Xenopus tropicalis: one gene and its partner. The main gene of each other region encodes a partner of the protein of the gene in region 2 in a complex. Links are inferred from orthologs where the notes say so. Each region holds a gene or a part of one and is shown on either strand. Other genes may lie near its edges.

Evidence for each region.
Region 1: camlg (region 2) and get1 share a complex: the UniProt entries of both Homo sapiens proteins name them as parts of the golgi to ER traffic (GET) complex. The link is inferred for Xenopus tropicalis from reciprocal best matches to the Homo sapiens genes CAMLG and GET1.

What each region holds. Positions count from the first base shown.
Region 1 is NC_030678.2:11,727,857-11,743,644, forward strand, and holds the start of get1 (tail-anchored protein insertion receptor WRB), read right to left. Parts: upstream 7,509-15,788; 5' UTR 7,468-7,508; coding exon 7,375-7,467; intron 2,344-7,374; coding exon 2,178-2,343; intron 1-2,177. Other genes in the region: hmgn1 (non-histone chromosomal protein HMG-14), read left to right, coding at 8,298-8,312, 9,675-9,713, 9,807-9,848, 11,054-11,110, 12,471-12,608, 14,225-14,269. UniProt on the Homo sapiens protein: Required for the post-translational delivery of tail-anchored (TA) proteins to the endoplasmic reticulum (ER).
Region 2 is NC_030679.2:26,211,766-26,227,359, reverse strand, and holds camlg (calcium signal-modulating cyclophilin ligand), read left to right. Parts: upstream 1-7,910; 5' UTR 7,911-8,037; coding exon 8,038-8,188; intron 8,189-8,450; exon of another isoform or gene 8,451-8,521; intron 8,522-8,767; coding exon 8,768-9,189; intron 9,190-10,097; coding exon 10,098-10,163; intron 10,164-12,143; coding exon 12,144-12,335; 3' UTR 12,336-13,706; downstream 13,707-15,594. Other genes in the region: protein transport protein Sec24A, read left to right, coding at 362-499, 602-706, 865-957, 2,638-2,741, 3,431-3,545. UniProt on the Homo sapiens protein: Required for the post-translational delivery of tail-anchored (TA) proteins to the endoplasmic reticulum.

The DNA of each region.
Region 1 (15,788 bases), on a different chromosome or scaffold from region 2:
TAAACAACAGGGATGCACCGAATCCCGGATTTGGTTCGGGATTCGGCCAAATCCCGGCTTTTTTTTTTTTAAGGATTCAGTTTCGGACAGATCTGCGGTCCTGGCCGAACCAAATCCTAATTAGTATATGCTAATTAGAATTCGGAAAGGGTTAAATGGCAGTGAAATTTTTTTTAACCCCTTCCGATCCTAATCAGCATATGCTAATTAGGATTCGGATTCGGTTCGGTTCCTGCTGCGTGGGTTCGGGAGTTTTCATGGAAATGGTAATTTTCAGAACAGTAGTTTTCAGAAAGTAACGGTTACGTGCGTAATAGTGTGCGCTAATATTGTGTGCTATGAAATAACGCATAAATATATTGCATGCTTTAAAATATCGATTAAAAATATGTCATCGCAAAATTTACCCAAATAGCTCCCCATACTGTTGGAGGGGATGTACGACCAGAGGTACCCTAAGCCACATACTATGGCAATGCCCCTTGGTAACAAACTACTGGAAAGAGGTGAGCAATCTAATCAGCTTGGTACTTGCATTGCCACTAAACATTCAACTACCATACCTCATACTGGGACAACCCATAGCGAGACTTAAACGCCCAGTTCAAAAACTAGTAAACCACATCACAACAGCGGCACGATTAGCACTTACTTCCAAATGGAAGTCACAAACTATCCCCAGTATATTCGAGGTTTATAACAAGAGTGGAAAACAATAAACGATTTGAAACTATGACTGCCTCTATAACAAATAATGTACAATCAAATGCCAATGTATGGTCACCATGGGAAGCCTATTTCGCATTGTACCCCCAGGAGAGCTCAGAAAATCCCATAAACACAAATATCATACATGATGGAAGTTGAAAGCCATATCTTAAAGAAACAGTAACACCAAAAAATGAAAGTGTATAAAAGTAGCTAAAATATAATGTGCTGCTGCCCTGCACTGGTAAAAGTTGTGTGTTTACTTCAGAAAGTCTACTATAATTTATATAAATAAGCTGCTATGTAGCCATGGAGGCAGCCATTCAAAGGAGAAAAGGCACAGGTTACATAGCAGATAACAGATAAAACACTATTGTATTCTACAGAACTTATTTGTTATCTGCTATGTAACCTGTGCCTTTTCTCCTTTTTTCCAGCTTGAATGGCTGCCCCCATGGCTACACAGCAGCTTATTATATAAATTATAGTAGTGTTACTGTAGCAAACACACCAGTTTTACCAGTGCAGGACAACAGTGCATTATATTTTTAATACTTTAACGCTCTTTCATTTTTTAGTGTTACTGTTCCTTTAACAAAGATAGAGGTTGTAGAACTACAGAATATACAAGGTAATAATGTCTGGACTATATTACTCACTGTTCTATCGGTTCTAAATCTGTTAATACCATGTTTATCTCATTTATATATCAAAGGAAAATCCCAACGAACTAATTGTCAAGATGTCTTGATGAGCAATGTTTCATATGTATTATGTGTATTGCATGATAACTCTCCAAATAAAAATTTGAGCTACAAAAAAAAAAAAAATATGTCATCGCAAGATAAATAACGACAATAAAATCGCTTCTTCATTCACACAAGTCTCTTTTTTGTGAATCGATCGTTAATTCTCAAATTATAAGAAGTGATATTTTTAACGCATGCTAAAAATAAAACTCGTTTTTTCGACCTTTTGTGAATCGGTCCCAATGTAATCAAAGACACTAACCCCCAAATGTAATAAATGGCTTGCTATTGGATAAGAGGGAAGCGGATGAAACCAAACATAACGCTCTACTGTTTGCTCCCAGAAACTGCTTTTGCCATGGCCTCAATTTATTCTGAAATATCATCAAGCAATTTCTCACTGCAGTTTCCAATGTAGATAAACAAATGTGTCCCAATATGAATATGCAGACGTAACAGAATACGATCGCTACAAACCATCCGGGACACATTTGCATTAAAGGAGTTAATTTGATTGGCTTTTGCAAACATGGCACAGCGCTAATACTCTGATCTAGTTAGAATACATACGTTTCTCTGTGCATATCCGCACTCCTTTATAGCTTACTTATTTATAATGAAAAACACATGATAAATGGAATTTAACATTACCGACTGAATTCATCATAGTAAAGAGGGAAAGCTAAAACATCGCACACTGCTGAAACCCGATCACTTTACCATGTGTTTTAAGTTTGTCGGTCATCTTGTTGATTTTGCGTTCCAATCTGGCGTATTTGGCAAACTCGTCCATCATGCTGATATTAGAGAGTTCTTGCCTCATGGTCTGGATATCAGACCTCATCTCATACTCCTGCTCCGCATCTTCCTGTAGTAGCCTGGAGACCTGCAGGGGAAATACAAGATTTTTGGGCATTTATTTATTCACTATCCACATCTAAGACACGAATGTGGAAAAGAGAAAAAGTATTATCATCATTACATGGAGGTTTAGGGAACATCCAGGCAAAAACCTAAATACATAGTAACATACGTAAGTAGACTCACATCCATCAAGTTTATACCCATCTGAAACAGGTCCAGACCAAAATTTCAAATTTAAGGTGGCCATACACGTAGCAATTTCGATGTTAGAAATTCTACCTCCTTCTGTCGATTCAGCCCTGAATGTAGATTTTGCTCAATGGCACCAGATCAAAATCTTTTAACCTGGCCAATTAAACGAGTCGACCAATATCCACAGCCTTTTGCGATATCGCTTGGCTCGTCAAGCCACCATACACTCACCAAATATCATACGATATTATCAGTGCGTGGATGGCCGGCTTAAGCCCCAGCATTTCAAGGCCTAAGAAACCCCACCAAGCCCAGTAAACAATAGTATATGGCATCTTACAGCAGCCCCATTGGCATCAATGTGTTAAGAAGGCAAATGTTGCACAAGAACACGAAAATCAGTTTACATGTTGAAATATCGGCAAAGCAGAAGAAACTATGACTGTTTAAATGCCCTGTATAAGTAAACGGAGATCAGGGGGGCATTCAAGGTAAACTGATAGAATTTGTAGTCTCCTGAGTTGTAAACCATAGCAGCCAATTAGTGATCAGTGATAGTAACCCTGTTTAAAATAATCATTGTTTAGTAAAGGTTTCTGTTCAGGGGTACCAGGAGAATTAGGCCTGCTCACCCTGGATCACTGCTTTCCCTCCCCCACTCCCCCCTAACCATTTTGGAGTTATTGAAAGAGGGCCTGAGGGAGGAAGTATGGGACGGGAGTAGTGGGCCCTTGAGGCGGTGGCCCCACACACCCCAGTCCAACAACCTTCCTATTTCAACCTAAACATATTACTAGTTGTGTCAATTCCCCCTACACAGTCTGTTAAGGGTAGGGATGTGCCATTATCCAGAAAGCCCAGAACTAGAGCAACGTTGTCTCCTATAGAGTCAATTATAACCACATAATCATTTATCTAAATGATTTCCTTCTTCTCTGTAACAATAAAACAGAACCTTGTACTTGAATCCATACTGGTAGCGAAATAATCTTATTGGGTCTATTTCATGTTGAAAAGTTTGTTTCGAAGACTAAAGGTGGCCATACACGGGCCGATTGTAGCAGCCGATATCGGTCCCTTAGACTGATTCGGCAGCTTATCGGCCCGTGTAGGGGCAGGAACGAGGGGCCTGCCCAGCCGATATCTGGCTTGAAATTGGATAGATATCGATCAGGCAGGTTAAAAGATTACGTCGGATCATTGATGCGGTCCCCGAACTGACTGCGCCCATTGCTCCCATTGTAATTCGATCACTTGGCCCAAGTTACAAACAATCAAATTAGCCTACATTTTCCCGATATCGCCCACCCATAGGTGGGGATTTTGGAAGAAGATCCGCTTGCTTGGCCACCTCGCAAAGAGAGCGGATCTTCACGTGTATGACCACCTTTAAGGTATGAAGACCCAAATTATCAAAAGATCTTTTATCTGGAAAAGCCCCTGGTCCCAACCATTTCAGATAAAAGATCCTCTCCTGACCCTGGCAGCTAGAAATGTCTGTGTCTCTGTGAGGCACACATTTTATTACTCAGTTGCCAATGTTCTCAGAATATCACTTAGGCTAATGCCCCATGAAGAGATTAGTTGTCCGCGATAAATCTCTTTTACCGTAGTCGCATGAAGTTTTCTACCACAGCCAAATTCTTTGCACGACTTTGGGAAAATGAAGCAACGCGTATGCCTTTGCACCAGGGATTCAATTTGCTGCTGGTGGAAGGGTATTTCGAGGAGATTAGTCGCCCGCGGCAGCAGAGATTTATAAGGGGCAATGTATCTCTCCTTGGGGCATTAGCTTTAAAGGTGAACAACTCAGCAGCTGGAATGCTGTAGTCAGTTAGCCAATGGGGCTTTTTTGTGTTTCTGCCATTTGCTCGACAATCAGGAAGCAACAGAACTACAAATAAGTAAAGGCAAGGGACCTGTTATCCAGAATGCTCCGAACCCGATGTTTTCCAGATAAGGGATCTTTCCATAATTTGTACCTCCATAACTTAAGTCTACTAAAAATCATTTAAATATTGAATAAACCCAATAGGATTGTTCTGCCCCCAATAAGGATTAATTATATCTTAGTTGGGATCAAGTACAGGTACTGTTTTATTATTACAGAGAAAAGGGAATCATTTAACCATGAAATAAACCCAATAGGGCTGTTCTGCCCCAATAAGGGGTAATTATATCTTAGTTGGGATCAAGTACAGGTACTGTTTTATTATTACAGAGAAAAGGGAATCATTTAACCATTAAATAAACCCAATAGGGCTGCTCTGCCCCCAATAAGGGGTAATTATATCTTAGTTGGGATCAAGTACAGGTACTGTTTTATTATTACAGAGAAAAGGGAATCATTTAACCATTAAATAAACCCAATAGGGCTGTTCTGCCCCCAATAAGGGGTAATTATATCTTAGTTGGGATCAAGTCCAGGTACTGTTTTATTATTACAGAGAAAAGGGAATCATTTAACCATGAAATAAACCCAATAGGGCTGTTCTGCCCCAATAAGGGGTAATTATATCTTAGTTGGGATCAAGTACAGGTACTGTTTTATTATTACAGAGAAAAGGGAATCATTTAACCATTAAATAAACCCAATAGGGCTGTTCTGCCCCCAATAAGGGGTAATTATATCTTAGTTGGGATCAAGTACAGGTACTGTTTTATTATTACAGAGAAAAAGGAAATCATTTTTAAAAATTAGAATTATTTGCTTATAATGGAGTCTATGGAAGATATCCTTTCCATAATTCTGAACTTTCTGGATAACGGGTTTCCGGATAAGGCATCCTATACCTGTACAAAACATAAATTTTAAGTTAAATGCAATTTTAAATCAGTGCAAAACATAAATTTTAAATTAACAGATTTTTACTTAATGCATCCTCCACTTTTGCAGCCATCTATCAAGCGGGGTTCAGCACCCAGTACTCGCAAGTAACATTCACATGATGCCATTGGACACAGGTTTGAATGTGCTTAACATACTTTGCTCCATAACCTCGAAATAATAACATTTGTGTAATGCAAATATCCCTTTTTATTTACCGATTCTACCCCCCTGCTTTTTCACCCACAATAGAATGTACATAGCTTATTTTTTTTAAATGTTAAAGAAAAAGTATTTTTTTTTTTTTTTTAAAAAAAAAAAGGGAACTGTCAGTGGAAACAGTTGGCAACCATGAGACATAAAGAGATGACACAATGGTGGCATGGCCGTCTTGTGATGTTTAAAAAAACACTTGGGGACGCACTGGGAGAAAAAAAAAAAAGCTGACAGACAGCAGAACCCTCCATACTTGTTAATGGCAGGATTTCCTAGCATTAGGCTTACCCCTTTCCACTCCTAGCCATTTGCGGAATTAAACTCTACCCTCCCAAGGGGAGATGTTTGTAGAGTGTAAGCTCTTTTGGGCAGGGCTCTCTTCCCCTCCTGTATTGGTTATTAATTGCTTTATTTGTTACTCTGTATGCCCAATGTATGAAACCCACTTATTGTACAGCGCTGCGGGATATGTTGGCGCTTTATAAATAAATGTTAATAATAATAAATGTTTCCCTTCATATAGGGGTTCCCTAATGCGCGTAGCCGATATAAACCTGCAATATAGCAGTGCTTAACGTGAGGGAAGGTTATAATGATGCCACAATAAAGATGGCAGTTGTGACATCGCTATAACAGGCAGCAGATACAATCCCTAGACTATATTCCATATTAAAACCAGCATTCTATGGGGAATTGGGCTGCAGCTTTGCCAATGCTGTGTATTAAAGATCAGGCACCTCTATATTCCTGGAGCACTAGGAGACTTTTTTACTCATTTTCTAACACAACAACCCTGTCCCCCTTCTTCCTTAAGGGTGAAGACACACAGAGCTACTAGTAGCAGCTACTTGTCGTGGCTACTAAAACAGACAATGCTGATCATTTACTGATAACTGTCTATGTGTGTTTTAGCAGAGGCAATTCTCAGTATTGTCTATGGCAGGGGATTTTCTGGCATTTTGTAGCCGTGACAAGTAGCTGCTACTAGTAGCCTAGTCTGTCTTCACCCTAAGGGTGTGGAATACACTGAGCTACTAGTAGCAGCTACTTGTCGTGGCTACTAAAACAGACAATGCTGATCATTTACTGATAACAGTCTCTACGTGTGTTTTAGCAGAGGCAATTCTCAGTATTGTCTATGGCAGGGGATTTTCTGGAGTTTAGTAGCTGTGACAAGTAGCTGCTACTAGTAGCCTAGTCTGTCTTCACCCTAAGGGTGAAGACACACGGAGCTACTAGTAGCAGCTACTTGTTGTGGCTACTAAAACAGACAATGCTGATCATTTACTGATAATTGTCCCTGTGTGTGTTTAGCAGAGGCAATTCTCAGTATTGTCTATGGCAGGGGATTTTCTGGCATGTTGTAGCTGTGACAAGTAGCTGCTACTAAGTAGCTCCATGTGTCTTTGCCCTTAAGGGTGAAGACACACAGAGCGACTAGTAGCAGCTACTAAAATCCCCTGCCATAGACAATACTGAGAATTTCCCCTGCTAAACACACACAGAGACAATTATCAGTAAATGATCAGCATTGTCTGTTTTAGTAGCCGTGACAAGCAGCTGCTACTAGTAGCTCAGTGTATTCCACACCCTTAGGGTGAAGACACTACTAGTAGCAGCTACTTGTCACGGCTACTAAACGCCAGAAAATCCCCTGCCATAGACAATACTGAGAATTGCCTCTGCTAAACACACGTAGAGACAATTATCAGTAAATGATCAGCATTGTCTGTTTTAGTCAAGTAGCTCCGTGTGTCTTCCCCCCTACAGCATATCGTCCCCCTCCCGCGATTCTCGGGCGATCAGTCGCTTACTTACAAGCGAGGAGAAAGAAGGAAGCAGGATTTTACAGAGATTGCACAGAAACACGGCGCTCAGCACTAACAGCCACGCCGCACAGCTCTCCGCCATGTTTCCCAGCAGCTCCCACATCGGCTGCAACAATAGCGATCAGCAAACCCCTCCCCCTTTAGAGGTGGAAAGAATCAAAACATGATATCGCTATAAAGATCTATAGGACAAAGATAGTTTTTTTTTTATTATGGTCGGTACCAATTGGATCTATTGTATCCCCCCCCCCCACACACACACACTCAGCAGCGACGAGATCGGGTTAAAACAGCGATCGCAGGGAACAGCGTGGATAGTGACGTCGCTCCAAGCACGATGCGTCTCAGCCAATCAGCGAGCGCCCTTGTATTTACCACCAGCGATTCAAACAAACGTGAAAAAAAAAAAAAAATCCCAAAGCCGATTTACTACCCCACCGCCGCCACATCCCCCCTTAGGGAGAAAAGGAAGGAGGAGGAGGGGAGGGGGGGGGTGAGTGACAGGCTAACCTACCCAGACAGGTGCCCGTGTTATGGTTTGAAAATCCACTGAGAGCCAATGGAAAGGGGGGACCGGGGTGGGACATACGCTTCCCCTCCCCCCATTCTCTCCAGCCCCCCCAACAGGTTAGAGCGGTGAATAGATAAAGAGGCGGAGGGATCCTATCCGGTTTGAACTAGTTCTCTGGCTCGCATATTAACCGCTTGCAAGCGCTAGGGAGCCGACTAGTCTTTGTGAGTACTCCATCTGCAGGAGGGCTCGCACATAGAAAAAACAAATATATATATAAATAAGTGCAAGCAAGCCAGGGATTTAAGTGTGTAGGCGTCCATTTGCAGAGAAGGCTGCTAAGCGTTCCCGTTGCTTCTGTCTTTGGATTCAAGCGGTGCACACAAGCCCTCAGTGCAGCCATGCCTAAGAGAAAGGTAAGGAGGAGCGCTGCAAGGACGCGGAGGGCTCCCTGCGAATATTAGCGGGAATTGCAAGCGGCAAATGGGTTTATGTCGGACGCGCGTATTCGTCCGCCGTTCGCTTTCTACATGGATATATCCGCGGTGGATAGAAAGTCCGCTTGTGGCGACGCCGAGGCTTTGAAAAAAATGGCGGTGGGATACCTTTTTAGAATGTGGTGCATTTGGAACTTTTCCTACTGGAATTGCAAACGCTTTTACTTTAATGGGGGGGAAAGCAGCCCGCACTATTTTTCTTCGTTTTCCTGAGGGGGTCGCGGTGACTTGCTGAGGGGGGGGGGGTTCCTATTAGGAATGGCGGGCTTCTTCGCTTGGGGAGACGGCGTAGGAGGTTCCGCGTTGATTTTTGTTTTACTTTAAACAACATGGAGGGTTGGAGTTTTAATTATGGAGAATGGCGGGAGGCGGCTGTGGCGGGAATTCTGTGAGGTAATGTCGTCGGGAGTGCACGACCACAACATGGCGGGGGTTGTGTGTGTGTGTGAGAGATTGTATACGCTGCAAGTGGCCCTCCGGGGGATTGCAAGTCTAACCTCCAGCGGGCCATTAGTTGGCCCCTCTATAGAGGCGTGTGGTGAAAACAACGAGGGGGGTGTGTGTAAGAGGAGTAATGTCGGGCGGGAGGGGGTTGGACGAGATGAGCGCTCCTTCCCTCTACTGCCCCCTCCTCCTTCTCCCTGCGTTTCCCTCGGCTCTAGTTCTCTTCAGCGCTCCTTCGTTCGGACTGGTCAGCGCCTGAAAGGGGGAAGGTCTTGCTCGTTCTAGAACGTTCCCGGATCCCCCAGAGCCAATGGGGCGAATGATTGAACTAGTGACGTCACTTTATCATTCCCTCCCCCCCCCTGCTAGAGTTGACATGGGCTGCCCCTGTGCGTGTTATCTCCGCTGAGGGGACTGTACCATTTTTAAGGGAAGGGGGGGTCGCGCAATAGATAGGTGGCATTCGATTCCTAAGTCGACTAAAGAGTAATTGTTTAAGTGGGAGTGGGGGGTAAATCCGTTACATGGTCATGACGAGTGCGTGTTTGGGTTACCAGGCGTCTTTAATTCTTCTTTAGCGCGCCCACCCCTCTCCTTCCGTGTGTGGTTTGTTTTTGCCTTGGAGTATTGGTTTACCTGCTTAGCGCCATCTGCTGGTGCGGCGGGTCACTAACCTGTTGCAATGGGTATTTGTGCATTGTCTTGTCCAAGGTCATGTACTGTGCGCTTATCAGCGCTGATACCCTGCCCTGATCTAAATCCCTTTGCCCGCAACCTGTCATTCTTCTTTGTGTTTAATACTGTGGTGTTGTGACTAATGGCACTTTCTTATTCCAGCAGGTGAATGCTGCTGATGCTGCAGATGCCAAGGATGAGGTGAGGAGCAGTGATTTCAACCAAAACACTTCTCAAAAGTTTTATTACTTTGCTGTATCTAATCATATTTTTATATTTTTTTTAATTTTTTAGCCCAAGAGGAGATCGGCACGGTTGTCGGCTGTAAGTGTTACGGTTTGTATCATTCATGGAGCTCAAGCATTTTTTGTAGCAATTAAACCTTGGTATTGAGGCGGGAGTTCAACAAAATTTTTTCCTTTTACATAAAAAAAGATAAATTTAATTAAGTTGCTCTCCTGTGTGTGTGTGTATTTGCAAATAACATTTTAAAGGAACAGTAACACCAAAAAATGAAAGAGCTTTAGAGTAATAAAAATATAATGCACTGGTAAAACTGGTGTGTTTGCTACAGTAACACTACTATAATTTATATAATAAGTTGCTGTGTAGCCCCGGGGGCAGTCATTCAAGCTGGAAAAAAGGAGAAACGGCACAGGTTACATAGCAGATAACAGATAAGCTCTGTAGAATACAATAGTGTTTTATCTGTTATCTATGTGCCTGTGCCTTTTCTCCTTTGAATGGCTGCCCCCATGGCTACACAGCAGCTTATTTATATAAATTATAGTAGACTTTCTGAAGTAAACACACAACTTCTACCAGTGCAGGGCAGCAGCACGTTATATTTTAGTTACTTTTATACACTTTCATTTTTTGGTGTTACTGTTCCTTTAACTTAAGACAGTATGTCTGACCTTTGGTGTTGCCACCCGAAATGCAGCAGAACTCTGTTCCCCTGCCTTGCACGCTTGTTATCCCTTATTGCGAACATGCAAGGCATTGTGGGAATTTGAGTCTTGGCTGATGCTGCATTCAGTTGTCAGACGATAGTAATTCGATTTAGACATAACTTATGAAATCATTGAACGTAATGTATATTGGAAGCTTGATGAGACGAGCATAAAGTGTAGTTCAGTGGCCATGTTTAAGAGTATCTACATTGATCCATTTATGTCTAATTTTTTGAGATTTCAACTGAGTTTTACACATGTTAGATTTTCTCCTTCACTTTGCTTGTTAAAGGGGAGCTAACCCCCTTTAAACAGGGGTTTACTCTGCAGGCTTTATTGAGCTCTCTTGCAGTTGATATTAACTTTCCACTTCTAGTTGTCTGTTTGCATTTTAGACTGAACTTTTGGCTTTGCTAAGAGTCAGCAATACAGAATGCAGGAAGTGAATAGACAGGGTAGCTCTGTCTTCCAAAAAAGTTCTTGGCAAATAATATTTAAGTTGCAAAAGTGCTCAAACTGTTTATTATTTGAGTGGTTAAGATTCTATATAACCAATCTGCCATTATTAACCATCTGAATTTCTTGTAGAAACCAGCCCCACCAAAAGCTGAACCAAAGCCAAAAAAAGACAAGGCACCCGTAAAGGTAACTAACTTTTATTCGTTTGTATTGCTTTCAAAACATTGCATGTTTAAAAACAAAATTGGGACAATAGCTAATAAGTCTTTCTCCCAGTTAGACTGATGCCTACACTTTCCATACATCTGTCAACCTTGCTTTTTATGCCTTTACACTGATACCTTGAGTGACTTGTAGCAGGCTAAAATTAGGTTTTATTTTTTTCCCCAGAGCAAGCCACTTGTTTTGTTGGGCACTGTCCCTTTAGGTCACTGTCCAGTTTATTTTTAGCATGCTGTCAGTTTGTGTAGCACAGGGTACCCAAAAGGCAGATTGTGATATAGAAGTTAATTTTGAATGCATGGCTAGAGTATTGTCCACAACCCACATCATTGGGTAAAACTCCAGATGTTTAATGATGGCTGTGCATCCCAACTTTTTTGCCTCTGGGTTGTCTTGACACTGTCAAGAATGAAATGTTATGTCTCTTGGTAGATGAAGTGAGATGACCTGCAACTATAGTAATTGGCCAATACTATATTGCCATTTTTACAGTATGCATTAGGTTGCTTCCTATTACAACTTAGGTGGTTTTGCACAAGTGCATTGGGAGCTTGGGTAGTGGGTATGTTTCCCCTTGCCCCATTTCCTAAATGGATTGAGTAATTATATATAACTGTTAAAATACCATAAGAGCAAAAACAAAGGCCTTCAGCATTTTTAATACGCTTCTTGCTGTAACACTAGTGCCATTTGTATAGACAAGTGCTGTGGTAGCAGCAGAGACTACAGTGAGAAATTTAAACATTCAATAGGGTGGTTACATGTATCTAGAACTATAAATAGATTCCTGCTTTAAATATAAAATGTTTACAGTACTTTTTCCAAAGGGGTTTTAGTGTGAAGTAGACTGATACATGTGCAGTTTGCAGTTGTTCTCCATATCAGCTCTAGTTTGGTATCTTTAGTAGCTTTCTGGTTGCTAGGGCCCACCAGGTAGTTGTTTGAATGACAGTCTGGAAGATGAATAGAGGGATAAGTAAATTAACCATATAATGTTAACCTCAGCAATAGTTACCTGGTTGCTGGGGTCAGTGAACTCTCCTATCTCCAGCTTACAGTTTAAAGTGCAAAAAATGAAGGCAGACAAGAAATAATGTGTAAAAACCATCTAAAGTAGGAGGTTCTAAAACATACTTAAAAGTGAGCTGTCACTTTAGGATAAGTTCACTAGGACTATGTATTCAAATGTTCAGAACCAAAGATGCAGGTCCATACTCCGATCAGTTATATTGGAGTTGTGATTTGCCATTTATGATGTAATGGCAGTTGATGTAGCCCGTTGTGATGGATATATGGCTAACTCTTATACTGTCACTGTGTTCAGGAAAAGCCTGAGGAGAAGGAGAAAAAAGTTCCAGCAAAGGGTAAAAAGGGAGCAAAGGGCAAACAGACAGAGGAAGCTAACAAAGAAGAAGCTAAGGAAGACCAGCCGTCTGAAAACGGAGAAACAAAAAGTGACGAGGTAAGTCTGCAGCATTGCAACAAAGTTAATATCAAAGACTCATGTTGAAAGTGAAGATACAAGATCTTAGTCTGCTTTTCCTGGTTAATCGTGACTATTGGCATTTATGCATGAGTTTAAACCTCGATACATGTATTAGACAATTAGCACAAGTGTTTGTGTATAAAGAAGCAGTGCTGTGGTTAGGTGTTGTTGTGAAACCTCAAGCAGCAACTCTAATGGAACGGAGTTTGTACCATAGCAGTTTCTTTTACTAATGCACAGTACTTGGCAGACATGAAAACTTTTCATAACAAAGTTTTGTTGGTTGATATAAAACCTTTATTTAGGGATCATAGTCTTTTGAATTGCGTAGGTGTCCATTGACAAATTGGAAACTCCATCTAATTCTAAACCGCTTTCAAATTCACCTTTAATGTCCTAATTACATGTAGTAGCAGTCCCCTCTCCTTTAGCCAAGACTTTCACAAAACTTGCGTGTTCCATGATAACAAGCCTGTGAATGAGTGACAGAATATGCAAAGGAATTTGGTAACTTGAACAGTAATTGTAGTACATTGGTTCAGCAGCACATGTAGTCGGGATCAATGGTGCATAGAATAGCGAGCAACGCCCTACTGGTTTAAATGGCAAGAATACATTTTAGGTGATTTTAATATATTTTGGAATTTTACTTTATTGTGCAAAATTCTTTAGTATTTTATTGGGTTTACATTTAGGAAGGGTTTACATTTAGTCCAGTAGTTTTAATTTGCACTGAAGGAAGACCTAATACAAAAGCAAATGAGTAAAGTGGTACTTGGGGTTAGTAATGCACAGCAATTGGTGCTTCCAAGCAGTAGGTGGCAATTACTGGGCTGCCAATTGTTTGCTGGCTTTTCTGTTTTTACACTACTTCCCTGCTGTCCCTATAGGAGTTGGCAGTCCTCAGTTGAATTCTGAACATTTCAGTGTTGGCTGTAGCCCTGTACACTTGCAATTTGCTTTATACTTTACCTTAGGTATGGAATTACATGAGATCAAAGGTTACAATACTGTAGGGTTGCATTAAAATGTTTCTTTACATGGGAGGGTCCAACCTAATGGCCAACTGGGCTAAGATCAGTAAACGCACTGCCCTAAATATTTAGTGCTATAGCAAAATGGCTTGTAGAACAGTTTCATATGCATAAGTTTTGGTGTAGCTACAAAAGGAGTAAACCCTAACAGTCTAACCATTAAAACAAGTATTTGCACATGGGTGATGGGAAATGGGATTTATTATCCAGAGCAAAAAGACCTGTGGCTTTCTAAAAAATGGGGGGGGGTCTTTAAAATTTAAAGCAGTGTTGTGGGTAAGAAAGCCCTTCAACATTAGGAACTATGATAGGATTGTTTAGTAATAAACCTGGATTAATTCTAAATAAACACATTTGCTGAACCCTCCATAGCACCTTGATGGTGCTGTCGATTCTTTTGACTGTTTCCCTTGAACTATGCTTCTTGGTAAGATCAAAATAGCCCATGACCTAAACCTGGGATTTGGCATAGCAATAATTCCATACTTTCTGGATAATAAGATAATGAGAACCAAGATAAAAATTGTATTTAACTTTCTCTTTTTCTCTTCCTACCAGGCCCCTGCTTCTGATGGAGGCGACAAGGAATCAAAGTCTGAATAACCTTCATCTTGTACCGAGTCTTTTATCAGTGGTTCCTGTACCTCCCTTGTACAATTCAGAGGAATATTTTTATCAACTATTTTGTAAATGCAAGTTTTTTAGTAGTTTAATTCTAGAAAACACATTTTTAAAATAGGAGGGAATCCCCACCATTTTTTTGTTGTAAAAAAAATTTTTTTTAAACACTTATGATTTGGTACATTGCCCCTGTATGGTTTGTAAAGGCTATGAATACTATACCAGTTAATACTACACCACAAACCAGTTACTGTGGGGAGTGCAAGCCTTGAGCAGTCTAAAATGTTTTTTTTATTTTGTTACAAAACGGCTAGTACTCTATGCAGGCTGCCGGTCGAACAGGCAGTGCCCGATACTGGTACAACTGGCGCAAAGATCACGGCTATTAAAATGTCTTAACGTTTTAACTGTTCTTTGTACTCATGTTGTCCTGCGTACAATTTACACTTTTAAACTAATAAATCTCCCAAGGTGACGGATTTCCCTCTAAAGAATTGTGTACTATCTGTGATGTTACCATTTTATTTTTTTTTTTCTGGGTAGTGGTATTTTATTTTCAGTAACTTTGTAAAAGTGCTGTGAATCTCTTCTGGGGAAACTTCTTTGAGTGTGTAGTGAGTGTGATGTGAAGTAGGGAGAAAAACAAAAAGGACACGGCGGTTCATGTGTTTGCATCTCTTTCCTGCCAAGGTGGCACCTATGCGTGTTCGCTCCTTCTTGGCCGAGAAATGGGTTGAATTATTTGCATCAAAGATGCTGGTACGAGGGGTGCTAGATTTTCTACGAAACAACTTCTCTCTGAACTTTAAAAAAAAAAAAAAAAACCGGAAAGCCGCTAGAAAATGGATTCCAATGACTTCAACGACATTGTTTTTATTTTTTTTCTTTTTTCATATTTTTCCTAGATTTCCAATCTACTAGAGTTTTAAAAAGGAAAAAAAAAATGTACAGATTGTTCATAGTGTCTGTGTACTGATCACCAAACCAATAAAACCTGGTTGAAAAAGTTACCTAGCTTTTGTTGGACTGTAATTGTAAACAGTGGTCAGTTTTACTACTTTTGTTTAGTCTGTTCTGTCCATACAAGTGCGTACTTCAGGGAATTTGCACCGGGTACAAAGTCTACTCTAGTAAATTGCTGCTGGGTAGGTTATTGATGCGTTAGAAATGGCATTAGGCCCCTATAGCATTTTAGATGCAATGCAGATGAATCTGGGAAAAGTCTCAATGGGTGTGTGACGGGTCAGATTACTTGCCAAGTGTTCTATCCATTTAAACTTACCAGTGGTAGAGGGAAATGCTTGTACCTTTTTGATTAGGATGAATCCAAAGCCTAGTTTGCACATTCAGTTTTTTTGGACAAATCAACATTGTGTTGGTTTTGAACAAAAAAATTGGTCGTCTGTTGTCCAGAGTTTTAAAGCCATGACTTTAAAGTGTTTGGATTCATTTTGGTTAAGCACTTAAGATCAGCTGAATCCTGCAAAAAGTGCTAAGCTTT
Region 2 (15,594 bases):
GCTATATACAGTATATTGTGAGTTGGTCCCTAAGCTCAGTTAAGTGCACATAGCATGGGCAGTGAATTGGCAGAAAAGAAGATGGGGGGCTACTGGGCGGACATTTTTGGAAGCACAAATCTTTCCTGCGAAAGGGCTGTGGTGGATTTGGTTTGGTACAGAAGCCCAAAACGAAGGTGTAACACTTCAAGCCTAATTCTTTATTGAACTATAGTTTACGTTTAATATGACTGTTTATTGCTGTGTTAATGCTGGTAGAAAGTCACAGATTCTTTATTTCAAAGCTGTCTTGACATATTACCAATCTATTTTGGAATATACATTACATTCCTTTGTGTTTCTCTCCTTTTGCCTCCACCAGAAGGCATTTCAGACTGGGACAAACGCGAGCTTGGATGAAAGAATTTTTTCCATGTGTCAAATTAAGAACCAGCCCCTATTACACCTCATGCTAATGATCCATTCCAATTTATATAGAGTCGACAATCTGACAGATGAGGTGCGTGTACTTAGTTTCATTTACTAAGTCAATACAGTAGGGTGGGTGTGCAGAACTGTTGGCTGGTGCTATGGCACTACTAAATGCATGTTATGATTACAGGGAGCCTTGAACATTAATGACAGGACCATCCCCCAGCCTCCCATTCTCCAGCTATCTGTAGAGAAACTAAACCGTGATGGGGCTTACCTAATGGATGCTGGCTCTGTAAGTATATGTATATGTAACACATTTTCTTTTGCTGTTGCATATTTCATGCTTTTTTTCAGGGCAAAACTTTCACAGCTTCTTTGTTTATTTGGTAGTTTTTCACTTAACATTGCCTCAGTCCTACAAGTCTAAATGTAGTATATTTTCTCTCATAGATATTAATCCTTTGGGTGGGTCGTAACTGTGGACAAAACTTCTTCACTCAAGTCCTTGGAGTTCCTAACTATGGATCAATGCCTTTGGAAATGGTAAGAATCTAGCTTGCTTGCATTTAGGCATCTTAGGCACCTAAAATAAAATTATGGTTTGTATATGCACCACACAACCTTGAGTTCCGCTTGGGCACTTTGTTGTGGTTACTTCTACGTATACTAGTGTACTGTATGTGGATAGTATTCTCCCTTACTCTGATTTAAACTGCAAGCTATGGCTTGACCATCTTTATCAAGAAACACATGATAAAGAGGAGTCTTTTCCCCTTAGATAGCATAACTAAACTCCATCTATGAATGCTTAAAGAAAAAACATTTCCCCAGAATGAATACAACAGTTTATATCATATAAAGTTACCTTTTAAAGGACACGTCAACCCCAAAAATGATGTTTTGTAAATGTAATTGCTGTTGAAAACAGCATTTGCCGAACTCCTGGTTATTACATTTTCAACAATGTTGCAAAGGTCAGTCTCCTCCACTAAGATAGGTTTGTTAGTCTGGTGCCTAGTTGTTTCAAGAGTCAGAGCCACCAGGGAAGAGAATAGGAAAGCAGTTATATATACAAATAAATAAAAAAACATTGTAAATTTGTAATGAATGTATATTGCAAAGCTGCTTAGAATTATGTTTTCTATATGGGCAAAAAAATTATATTTTGGGTTGACTTGTCCTTTAAAGAATCTTACCACCAAACTGGTATGCATATGTGTGTGTGTGTGTGTATTGCCCTTTAACATCTTTCCCCTTGATCCACCATTTAAGTAATTGGATATCTGCACCAGGACACCACAAAGGACAGGAATTAATGCAGCTCTAACTGTAACAGGAAGTAGTGTGGGAGCAAAAGGCAGAACTCTCTCCATTCATTGGCTGATGGGGCCTAGCATGTATGTGTGCACTGTGAATCTTATGATCCCAGGAGGCGGCCCTTAATTCTTAGTATGGCAATTTTCTATTTAGGATTGCCCAATGGCACATACTACTAAAAAAGTATATTTTTATGGAAATGGTTTATTTAGATGAAACATGGTTTTACATATGAGCTTGTTTATGCAATATATATTTATAGAGCTCTACATTGTTCAGAGGGTATAGTTTTCCTTTAAAGCAGTGTGCAGTGTTTCTAATCAAGGTGTTTAATACTTCATGGAAGGCAGAAAGCACATAACTGTGACATTTCTGTGTATAGCAACAGAATATGATGGGGATGGGATAATATGTCAATACCCATACATACCAATACACATAAAACATGGGAAAGGGCTGATCTAACTAAACATAAATATGGACTATGTATTCAATGACAGATGGAGAGATGTGGCTTTAATGTGCTATGAGATTTAATTACCAACCATTTTGTTCTTGCAAAGAGTCCATTCCAGAAAAATAAAGGACATAGTAACATAGTAACATAGTAAGTTGGGTTGAAAAAAGACATATACGTCCATCAAGTTCAACCATAATGCCTATATATAACCTGCCTAACTACTAGTTGATCCAGAGGAAGGCAAAAAACCCCATCTGAAGCCTCTCTAATTTGCCACAGAGGGGAAAAAATTCCTTCCTGACTCCAAGATGGCAAAAGTAAAGAAACATGCCTGCTGTTCAAAAATGTCAAGTGAATTAAATTGCACTGAAGAGAGCTGGCTGAAGGCTGCCTGGCTCATCATCCTGCTGCTATAAAATGTTAATGTGCATCTTTCTTTGTGACAGAATCAGCTGCCTGAACTTGATACGGCTGAATCTGCCAGAGCAATAGCTTTTATCTCCTGGCTCAGAGAACAGAGACCTTTTTTCCCAACATTACATATAATACGGTAAGTAAACACATCTCTGACCTGGCACAATTGGCCTTTCATTGAAAGGGGAAACTGTTCTTAAAGGGCTAGTTACACCAAATTGGTTAGGCTGCCTCGCACTTTTGTATATATATATATATAATAATTTATAATACTAGAAATGTGTGTATAATTGTTTCTTCAGAAGTTCTAATGTGTGAGCATTGTTTTTATTATGTTTTCCATTGATAATGTTGGTCCCTAAGAGTGATGGCAGATAGGACATTTTGTCGCCCCTGCTAAATCTCCTCAAACACAGGCAACAAAATGTCCAAAAATTCCTTTGTATTGGTGTTAGTATGTAAATCTCTGCTGGCAAAACCTTTGAACTCAGTCTACACTGAGAGAAGGTAATATCTGGCACTGACACGATTCAAAGTTTTACCATTGGAGATTGATTCACATTAATGACAGTGCAAAACTGCTTTCCCATCTTCCAGTGCCCTTTCTGTGCCCACTGCTCTAAAGCTTGGCTTAGTGATTTTCAGAAACAAAAGAAGCAGCTGTGCAGGGGTTAAAAGGTGCCTTGGGAGTAGCACTGTCTGAAAGTGAAGCCATAGTCAAAAATATCATCGTAACCCAGTGTAAGAGAGAGGTTTCCCATTAAAACATGGAACACTGCCTGGTAAGCAATGAAGTGTGTAATCTCTGATTTTGTGTTCCTTCAGCGATGAAAGCCCTCTGAAATCAGCCTTCCTGCAGAACATGATCGAAGACCGAACAGAATCTGCTTTATCTTACTATGAGTTCCTCCTGCACCTTCAGCAGCAAGTGAACAAATAAAGCGCTGCCGAGAGCAGAGAGCGAGACAATATCCACAGCAGAACCACACCTCGTGGCCTGCCCATTCTGTGCATTACTACATTTTGGGGCCTCATGCCATAAGATGTGCATACACTGTGATTTCAAACCAATCAGATCTTCTAGGACAATACTTGGGGACTGAAATGCGCAAGCACACAGCATTTTTAAATTGGATTTAAAAAAACAAAACAAAAAATTTGTGATGCTTCTTTCTGCCAGATGATTGTTAAAATAACTATTAATGAATCGTTAATTTTCCACTGCCAGATGGGTCTTTAGACACTACATAGGACTCTTCTTGGCACCAAAGCATCCATGCGTATATTCAGGAGATGAAACGGAGTTCAATAACAATAAAGCCAGATTTTTCTTCAGAATATCTATATTTTTTTCTTTCTGTCTGCTTTCCTGTAACTCTTATTTTGCTGCTAGTTATTTCTTCTGTAATGGCAAGATGTCTAGAGTAATTATATGAATCGTGTTCCAAAATAAAAATGAAACCTTTGTTAATAAGATACCGAATCACTTAGGACCAAAGTGAGTAAATGGCAGGCTGAGAAGTCATATCCTGGCATATCCAGGTCTCTGTAAGGGCTGTGCCTAAGGCAATAGGATAAATCTGCAGATTCTCAATATAGAAACAGGCAGAGTGCAGAGATAAGAAAGCAAAAAGCACCATGTCTTAAGAATGTATGTAAAAAATGACCATGTAAAGGGAAAGTAAACTGTCATGGTTCTTATTTTGCAAGAGCTTTGATTCTTTCCACATTTTTAAACATGTTTTAGTTGCAGAAAACGGAAAAATAGTCCTTTTTTGGTAGCATGCTTCAATGATGAATGATAGTGTGGAACATGAAAGTCACCAAAAGTGACATTTAAAGTTATAGTAACACGTTACTTGTGTGGAGTTTTATTTTGTACACATTGTCTTAATAAGGAGGGTTGTTGAATGGGAGCAGGAAGCAAGCAATTAATTCCCCTAAAGTGGGAATGATCCTTTTTTCTTTTCTATGCCACCCGCCTTGATTTATAAAAATCAAAATATTGCTTGCTTTGCTTTTGATTTAAAAAGGTTTCCTTCCTTTCCCTCCAGGAAAAAGTCTGCTTGCCTTTGTACACTACAGCTTATTGTACTAAGCAGGTTTCAAGGCTTCAGTCAAGCTCACAATGTTATTCAGTAACAGGCACCAAAAGCAACCCGCAAGAGTCTCTTTATCACTTTGGTTCTACATAGGATTGCACCTTTGACTATTAGATACACTGATCAACCCCATCAACAGCCGAGATGCCATGTAATGAGTCTCTCTGCCCGTCCCCCTTGTATGTTTAATAAGCTGGCACAATTTTCTACATTAATGGCTCTAATTTATTGTGAAGTGAACTGATAGAACAAAATGTGTGTAATAACCTTAGATTTTCTTTGTTTTAATAAAAAAAGCACCTTTTATTCTGGGATTTCATGTTAATAAAGTTTTTAAAGAGTTAATGTTTTTCCCAGTTTCATCATGTTCAGCTAAGGCATTGCTAGTTCTTTCCTACCCTTTTCTGTCTTGCTAGAACAGCAAATAGCTGCTGATGGAAAGCGTGGCAACAAAAATGGAAATTTGTACAGGTATGGGACTTGTTATCCAAAATGCTCAGGATCTGGTCTGGATAAGGGGTCTTTTTGTAATTTCGATCTCCTTACCTAAGTCTACTTAAAATAATATAAACATTAAATAAACCCAATAGGATTGTTTTGCCTCCAATAAGAATCAATTATACCTTAGTTGGGATCAAGTGCAAGGTACTGTTTTATTATTACAGAGAAAAAGGAAATCGTTAAAAAAAAAAAAAAAAATTATTGCTTATAATGGAGTCTATGGGAGATGGGCTTCTCTTAATTCTGAGCTTTCTGCATAACGGTTCCTGAATAAGGGATCCTATACCTGTGCAAAGATACTATTTGCCCCTTACATTATTCTGTTTGATATGCTCCTGTATATGTTCATAAAGCGCGATCGTCAGGCAATGTTCTTATGTTTTTTAAAGGAGAAAAAAAAGGTAAAAACTAAGCTTTATCAGAATGGTCTATGTAAATATAGCCATAAGCACTCACAGAAACACTGCACTGACTTCTCTGTAAAAATATTTTTTGGGTCTGTTTTCCTCTGTTAGAGACACGCAGCTCTCTGCTCTCTCCTCTCTCAAGAATGCTAAGAAACCCCCCCCCTTGGATCTGAGCCAATCAGCAGGAAGCTGACTCATAGTCTTACTAACTGAGCATGTACACCGGTCTTGCGCTTGGTGCAGGAGTGAGGCATTATGGGAACTTTCTTTACACAGCTCAGCGTTTTTTCTTGTATATATGGGGAGACTTAAGGGCACTATTGAGACAACTGAAGATATGACTGCAGCTTGAGATTAACTCTTTATTAGCCTTTCCTTCTCCTTTAAATATTTTGTTGGCACCATGCCCCCCCCCCCCACCCCAATTAAATTGTTTCCTTGTCCTTTAAAGGAAAATAAAGAATATGGCTTGCCCCACGTGAAATTTCCAAATTAAATATTAAAAAAAAAAACCTGTTTGTACTTTTGAAAAACAGATTTCAATGCAGAATTCTGCTGGAGATATCAACTGATGCATATTGGGGGGAAAAAACATGTTTCCCAGGGTGCCAAAACTTGTGCTCTGATAAACTTCAGTCTCTCTTTACTGCTGTGCTGCAAGTTGGAGTACTATAGACCTCTTAAACTCTTGTTCTGTACCTCTTGTACGGAATACCTAAATTTGTCAACAATTCCGTGGTTAGGCTCATTGTGTCGGGTGGTGGGTTCATTGTGAGATGCTTTTTGCAGTGTGTGGAGAGTTTCTACTATCCCCAGCCAGTGCTTATACCTTTTGCAGCTTGTAGAGTATATTCAGAGTCACAAATACACAAATTAGTCAAATCTTAAGGTATGGTTTCATTGCCTTGCACTGCTTCTATACCACCATTATTTGGTTTACTTGCCAATATGGCTTTCCAGCCTTCCAGCTGTGCCATACACATTAGCAGCGGTGAAAGGCTGAAGATGGGTTGTATCAGAGAAAGTAGGCAGAAGCCCTGTTTCCATTGCTGTGAAAGGGAGCAGTGGCTGAAAGGTTGGGGAGATATATCTCTGCACTTCTTTATTCCATAAACTCCATGTCCGCACTCACTGGGTTAGTATCTCCTCTCATGCTTTAAAAGACCACTAAAGTGCCAAAGGGAAACCAAAATGTGGACGTTTTCAGGAAAACGTACAGGGTAAAACTTAGGGTACTGATAGGTTGAACAGCAAAGTCCTGTTAAGACTTAATACAAAAAGCAGAGAAATTTGCGCTGAACTTGCAAGCAGCACTTGTGGCTCTCAACAGTGCTCAGAACGCTTACACTGTACATAGCAATGTCTGAAGCACAGGGAGAAGCTCCCACAGTGTATTAACAAATAGCCAATTTTACTAGATGAAATCTACCAAGTTAAGGGGATGGTGAGATAAAAAATGATTGGACCCCCTGTGCCTGGGTACTCAATGACAAAGAGTAACCCTCACATCAAGGTAATCCGTATTCAGGATTCTCCCAAGCCATGAGGAGTCATAAAGAGTACAAAATCACTAAACAGTATATTAAATCCTTTAATGATAAATAATCACAAAGGGGGTGATTTATTAACGGTCAAGTTTAAGTTTTTTTGTGCTAAAAAAAAAAATCTAATTTTGTTTCAAAAACTCAACTGTCTGGTATCTGTTAAGCGCAAAAAAACCCGAAAACCCAAATGTAAAAATTCATCTAAATTCACCAATTCACTATCTAAAAGCTTGTAGGTTTCTACAGAAATCAATGGGAGTTGTCATAGGCAAGGCCAAGCCATACAGATGCTGAATTCTCCCTTCTCCTCCTGTTAATGCTTGTATGGCCTGACTGAATTAATCAAAAATGCCAGTTTTTTTTTATATATTGGATTGACATAACTTTCCTCCAATCCTTTAGCACCATAATAGATAAAAGGATGCCCAAGAAAATTTTAAACAGTGGCTAAAACTAAGCTAAGCTGTCAGTAAGCAATAAACACCACATTCTGTCAGCCACTAACACTGAGCATTTGTACAACAGAATGGGTCCCGTTACTCTGACTCCTCTATTATATATTCAGACGAAAAATAATGATTTAAATTGGCATTTTCAGCTGGATAAACATAATTATGTTTCATTCAATGTCACTGACTATGTAACAATGTTTCCAAAATACCTGCAACAAGCCTCTCTCCATTTCTGCGTTTGGCTTATTCCTTAGCCCCGCCTCTTCCTGCAAGCAAGGTCAGGTGACCGTAATGTCATGGCACGCCCTTCCCCCTGCCCGGAGGCTGTCAGCACAGAGTGGGATGTGAGCTGTTCATTGTGCCAGTGCTTCTATAGAGCGGACGGGGAGGCATTCGGGATTGTCAGAATCTCTGCACCCAGGGACTATGGCGAGTCCGGCTGTTCCGGGAGAGCCGGGGAATGGGGCGGCGATGAGTGCATCCCAGAGGAGAGCGGAGATCCGGCGGAGGAAGTTGATGAGTAACTCTGAGGAGAGAATGAACCGGATTATGGGTATTCACAAGCCAGGGAACAGCGGTGAGACAGAGGCGCAATCATTGGGCTACATGGCTGTGTGAGACAGCGGCAGCCGCATTCATTCCTGTGCTTTATTGTGCATTGGGCGGTGACTGTGCCATAAACCCCATGGCTCGCCTGGCAATGGGCCTGCTATATAGGGAGATGGAGAACTGTACAGTCATTATAGGGCTGGGGCTGTGTGGCACAGACATGTGTGGGGCAGCCAGGCTGCAACAGATGTACACATGTGTATAGTGTAGGGCAGCGACTGTGCGGCGGCCAGGTGTATAGTGTGGGGCGGCGACTGTGCGGCGGGCAGGTGTATAATATGGGGCAGCGATTGTGCAACAGGCAGGTGTATAATATGGGGCAGCGACTGTGCAACAGGCAGGTGTATAATATGGGTTAGCGACTGTGCTGCAGGCAGGTTTATTTTATGGGGTAGCGACTGTGCGGCAGGCAGGTGTATAATATGGGGCAACGACTGTGTGGCAGACAGGTGTATTATATGGGGTAGCAGGATTTTTTCTTGTAGACTGTCAATGAATTTTAATATTGTAAGTGCAACTTTTTTTTCTCCCCCATTTTCTGGTGCAGATGAACTTCGCTTTGAAAGACTTGATAAATCTGATTCACTGTCCTTATCTTCCTTGACCAAGAGAAGTGATATCCTTTCTGGGGATGGAGGCCTTTCAGCAGAGCACCACTGTAGCAGTGTAGATGGCAAGGAACCTTATATTGGAGACAAGATGGACTTCTTAAAGAATGCTGATGTCAGAGATGATAGCAATGGCGTACGAAACAGAACAGATGTGAATTCAGAGCCCACCTCAAGAGGATTAGATGAATACTTATCAAGGTTTGATGAGGCCATGAAACTTCGGAACCAGTTAAATAGTGAGAAGCCAAGTGCAGACAATGGGAATGGAGTAGATGAGTTGGACTCTTTCCGCATATTCAGACTAGTGGGCAGTGCGCTCCTTGCTTTTGCTGTCCGGATGTTTGTGTGCAAGTACTTGGTAAGTAGTTTTCTTCTGTTAAGATGACCACATAGTACTTGTCAATCAGCATATGCATAGGCATGTAGTTAGATGTGCCAGATAAACATAATTATTTTTGTGTTTATCTGGGTTAGTGTATTCTGTAGTGTTCGTGTATCTTGGGGGGGGCGGGGTGCGGCACACACAGCAATCTACTACAGGGTGTAGAGTGCCCCACGGAGTGTGTGCTTCCTCTATATTTACACCATTGCTTCTTGGCAATCTTCTCTGAAATTAGCTGTAAGGCTTGTTATCTCATGTAACATTTTTTCTGTTGTTAGCAAAACTGCTGGCACAGAGACACCAATGAGAGTTTCCAGTGGCTCCCATTCACTTGAATTGGGAATGGGTTGTGCAGGTGTAGCGCTTTTAGGGGCCCAAACTTAATAATAAAAGATAATGTTACTATATTGTTGCTATATGACATTGGGAAACTACTGCATAATGCTGGCTTGTTGATATTACACTGCACAGTTATACAAGACCTGGCTATTCTACTTTCCCCATGGCTGCTTTACTACAGCTATAAAATAACTAATATAATTTTAAAAAATTAGAATCAAAGATCAGTTAGGGGTCGGATAAAAAACTATTGTGCACTTAAAACAAACTTGAAAGAAGAAGAAAACTGCAGATTGCTGTGCTTATTTGTAAGTGACTAAAATTGCTTGCTTTTTACCTTAGGCCAGCGCTTCTCAGAGCCACACACTGCCCTGGGGTACTTCCAGTCCTTGCACCACCCCAAACTTAAGTTTACTGCACATGTACTTTGAAAGGGATACATAGTAGAGGAATAAATGCTCTGCAGAAAAGCACTATGCACAGGATACCTTTTGCTAACACTTTTACCTCCAAAGTGATTGTGTATTTTTGTTCTTGTTTTGCAGTCAATATTTGCACCATTCCTAACACTACAGCTTGCATTTATGGGGTTGTCAAAATATTTTCCAAAGGTAAGCTAGTAGTTTTAGATATGACGCTTTTTTGTTGTTTTTCTAGTAATTTTCAAGACCATTGTAAATAAAAATGAAAAATGTTATAAATTGGTTACGGGATCTATTCATATTCATAATTCTCAGGAACTGCTGGTGGTTTCTTTATATGGGACCATTCAAGACTTATGTTTACGTCAGTCTAAAGTCCTATTATTGTGCGATTCTTGTGCGGTAGTTTACTAGACTAACAGTACACAAATAATCCTGCTGCATAATAATGGAATACGGAACTCAGTGTCTGCAGTTAAACTTAATTAATGGTAACATAGTAAGTGTGAAAGCAAAAATGCTCAATTACTGGTTTCTACAGGTATGGGATCCATACTCTGGAAAGCCATTATCCAGAGTCCATTTTGGACAAATAATTACATTTTTTAAAAATGATTTCCTTTTTCTCTGCAATTATAAAACAGTACCTTGTACTTGATCCCAACTAAGATATAATGAATCCTTATTGGGGGCAGAACAGCCCTATTGGGTTTATTTAATGGTTAAACGATTCCCTTTTCTCTGTAATAATAAAACAGTACCTGTACTTGATCCCAACTAAGATATAATTACCCCTTATTGGGGGCAGAACAGCCCTATTGGGTTTATTTAATGGTTAAATGATTCCCTTTTCTCTGTAATAATAAAACAGTACCTGTACTTGATCCCAACTAAGATATAATTACCCCTTATTGGGGGCAGAACAGCCCTATTGGGTTTATTTAATGGTTAAATGATTCCCTTTTCTCTGTAATAATAAAACAGTACCTGTACTTGATCCCAACTAAGATATAATTACCCCTTATTGGGGGCAGAATAGCCCTATTGGGTTTATTTAATGGTTAAATGATTCCCTTTTCTCTCTAATAATAAAACAGTACCTTGTACTTGATCCTAACTAAGATATAATTAAAACTGCTAGCAGTAAATTTCCCATCTCTCTCTATGGGAGGGCTGACCAGCTTTTATCAGCGTAGGGTCTGCTTTGAGCAATGCTATGCATCATGATCTGCAAGAGTATTATCCAGGTCCTGTAACAATTTGATAGAAACTTATTCAGCAATAAGAAATTCTACATTGCTAATCATTGTTAACCAAACACCACTTATCCCTAAAGTAATAGTTTATTAAAACATGAATACGATTAGTAATCAGAGGATTATCTCTGTGGATAAAGTTCCTCGCTTGAGCTCTGCTGGCTGTGAGCTGGGCTACATTATGGGCAGCATTGCTGTATGGGAATCTGGGACAGGATGATTGTGGGGCTTTTACAATGTCTGTTTTCTGCCCTTACACAATGGTGGTTAAAATTACATGTAGTCCTGCAGCGGGTAGGATGTGGGTCTGCAGGTCTTACCCTGTTTCCCCGAAAATAGGACATCCTCCGAAAGTAAGGCACCCCCCTGATTTTTCACCCCCTCGGAAAATAAGGCACCCCCCGAAAATAAGACACCCACCCAAACGATGGAATAAATGTGTACTGTATTCTTCTTCATGGAAAAATAAGACATCCCCTGAAAATAAGACCTAGTGCATATTTTGGAGCTTAAAAAAATATAAGACAGTGTCTTATTTTCGGGGAAACACGGTATCTATATTTCTTATATTATTTATATTTTACTCCTTTAAACATTTTTTAAATTGTTTTTTTCTACCCCACCCACTTCTGATGATGTCACTTCTGGTTTGTAGCAACAGCACTTCCCGTTTAATGGTGGTCAGCAGGTTGTGATTTGGGTTGTGGATAAAGCAGTTGCAGGTCGGCTCGTGTTGTGGGTCCAAGGGGGTAGAAATGTGGGTTGTAGGCCGTGGGTCTGGTTTCAAAGATTGGTTCAGCACAGGACAGTGTGGGCCATAGCTCTAACAACTGTTGGTAAGGCCTGAAGACAGGCTCGAGAACCTGTAGGATAATCTGATCTTTAACTATGGCCTTTTGTTTTTGTCTTTCAGGGTGAGAAGAAAGTTAAGACAACTGTACTCACTGCTGCCCTTCTTTTGTCTGGAATTCCCTCCGAACTTATAAATCGTTCACTGGATACATATAGCAAGATGGCAGATGTGTTCACTGACCTGTGTGTCTACTTGTTTACATTCATCTTCTGTCATGAATTGCTCTTATATTTTGGCTCTGAGATTCCTTGATAGCTTGTCATAGAACAAAGGAGAGAGTTAAAAGTGTGTGCCAGGAAACAGAATAATTGGAAAGAGAAGTTCTTTTGATTATACAGTCTCCCTTTTACTGAGGGGTGGAACTTGTTACTGTCTGAGGGATGGGACATGTTTCCAACGAATAGTGGAGAATTTTTATGCTTTCATCCATTTGTCAAATGTCTTAAGATTTTTCAGTGTAGTGTGTGTCCCCTAAGTTGGGATAATTATAAAGATCTATCACACAGATATAAGATCCAATTGGAGTTGCAGAGAAATTACCTTTGGTGTATTGTACTGTTTTTATTTTTTGCCATTTCTTGTCAATATTAAGTCATTAAGCACCAGTTAAATAACTACATAAACTATATTTTCAAGAGTTCTTCTGATTATTACCTGTAAATCAAATTGACCGTAAAAAAAGTATCGTAATGACCATATCATACAACTGGGCCAAATTCACTTGGTTGTCGCTAGACATTAAATATTGTTAACGAGGGACAACGCAAACATTATTATTTAAGCATGATGAAATGATATATCCAGCTAATAAGCAGTCAACATACCTTCCTGTCAGAGCAGTTAGTTACAGGTTTGCCTTGAACTTCAGTGAAAGAGTGGAAGACTGGCGGATTTAGCTAAAATTTACTAATTTCTGAATTTACTATCTTTTAATCATGGAAGTATTGTTCAAAGCAAGATAGCATAGCACCATTTATACTATGTTAGTTGGTGGACAGTAGAAGCAGAATTAAAGATTTAGCTATGAGCTATACTGTGTGAGCCCTGTGTGTTGTTTTCTGGCCACTCTCATTGAGCAGGAGGGCAGATTTTATCAGTACAGGTTTGGGACCTCTTATCCAGAATGCTTGGGACCTGAGGTAATTTCTGCATAATGTAATGTGGATATCCATAGCTTCAATCATTTAAACATTAATTAAACCCAAAAGGATTTCTTTTATTATAATGGAGTCTATGGGATATGACCTTCCTGTAATTCGGATCTTTTTGGATAATGGGATACTGGATAACGGATCTCATACCTGTATGTGATAAAGATGGGTTTGCCTCTTCACTGTGAATTTTTGACTGCTATATATGAAGCATGTCAGACTGTATCAGCTTCCAGCACAGCACAGCGCAGGGATGTTTGTTGCACTTTCTTTTGCTCTGTGGCCCCTAGACTCTTCTTATACTTTTAATTAGATGTGGTCCCCAACCTTTTACATTGTCATGTATCAAATATTTTCTGTTTGTTTTTTTTTAATTAAGTTATTGTCATGCATTTTGCGGTTTTGTATATATGTAGTAAAAACTGCAGAATTACTTCGTTATCATTATTAAACTAGTTAACAGTGAACTTGAGAAAAGAGATGTTTACCCTTTATGTGCTGTAGATTTTTCAAATGCAGTGTGTGCAAAGTGATATTAGTAGACATGGTCTCATTTTTTTTTTCTTAAATTTTCAACCTTTAAAGGAGAACGGAAGTAATTTACCTATGTTAGTAAAGCCTTCCTCCTGGCCTGCACAACTGCCCCCCACCCCTTCACATGTTTAGTGTGGACAGTCAATTCAAAGAGAAGGTTAAAGTGGTTATACACCTTTAAATTAACTTTTAGTATGACATAGACATTAATATTTTGAGAAAACTTGCAATTGGTTTTCCTTTTTTATTTTTTGTGGGGTTTTTTTTCAGTTATTAAGCTTTTTGTTCAGCAGCAATCCAGTTTGGAATTTCAGCAGCTATCTAGTTGCTAGGGTCTGGTTTACCTTGGCAATCAGGCAGTGGGTTAAATTATAGACTGAAATATGAAAAGAAGGTGAGCTGAATAGAAAGATAAGGAATACAAAGTAACAATAGCAATAAAATTGTAGCCTCACAGAGCAGTAGTTTTTGACCCCCATGAAGACCAACTACAAAGTTGCTAGGAATAGGATATTCTCTAACATATTAAAAGTTAACATTAGGGGGAATCACCACTTTAAGTGGCACAAGAGGACTCCTGCCAACCCACTGCGATACCCTGTTTTTTGGAAACAGCTAGTGAAAACATGGGAAGTAACAGATATTTATAGCAACTGACCCCTGCGCTGTACCAGGGAACATATTTGGAGAAAACATAGGACATTTTATAGACAGAAGAGAAGTATAAGAAAGAGTTTCCCTTTTTTTAAACTTGATAAATACAGAATTTTAAAGATGCTTGCTCTACAGCTTTTGTACTTTAATATGACTCTTGTTGAGTTGTACGATTATTGTAATTTAGAGGTGGTGTTTTATCTGATGCCTCCCACAAACCAGTGCAGTCCCACTTTTCCACATAGTGGACTAAACATATATATGAAAAACAACTTGCAATAAAAATGTAATAATTAAATTGCAATAAAAAGTAAGGCACTAGCCTGTGGCAGCCCTACCCTCCATAAATATGATTTGAATGCGTGACCATGGTCAAGAGCTATGCTATGTGGGCTCATTTACGATATAAGATGCCAAGGGGTTTATGTTATAAAAGGCACTAAGTTTGCCCAGGAGCAGTAATCCATAACAACCAATTAGAAGGTAGCTTTTACTGGTCACCTCTTTAAAAGTAAATCTTATTGGTTGCTATGAGTTACTGCACCAGGGCAAACAAATATTGGCTGTTGGGGGATTCTCTGCAGCCCCCTCTAGCGCCACCCACACACTTCCTGCTGCACAGATCTGCAACATCCTTCTCTGCTCTTCTCCGGATACAGAACCCCCCACACTAAACTTTTCAGCTTTGGCTATATAGTCATATTGCCACATATAAAACATTTCTATTTCTTAATCATTTATTTTGTAGCCCATTCTGCATATTTTGATTAAGCAATAGTAATGTATTACACATGACAATTTAAGTAGGCAGCCATACAAAGGTATTTTTGGCCAATTTGTTGACAAAGCACCCCTTGTGTCATTACCCTATGGGCTGTAAAACCCAGTGGTTCTGCACACTCTCCACTCCAAGGGCAATGACCTCAGCAGCTAAAACTGAATACATTTTTTTCACCTAATGCAATTTTATTTACCAAATAAACATATATATGGTTCTATGGGGCTCAGTTACCAGTTCCAGTAACAACATTTAAGGCAAAGTTCCTTGTTCCTAAAAAAAAAAAATATATATATATATATAATATACCATAACATACTCTGTTTGTTGTTATTGATTACATAAAATTGAATCATTTGTGTAAAAAAATCTTATTTTATATTCTATATTTTTT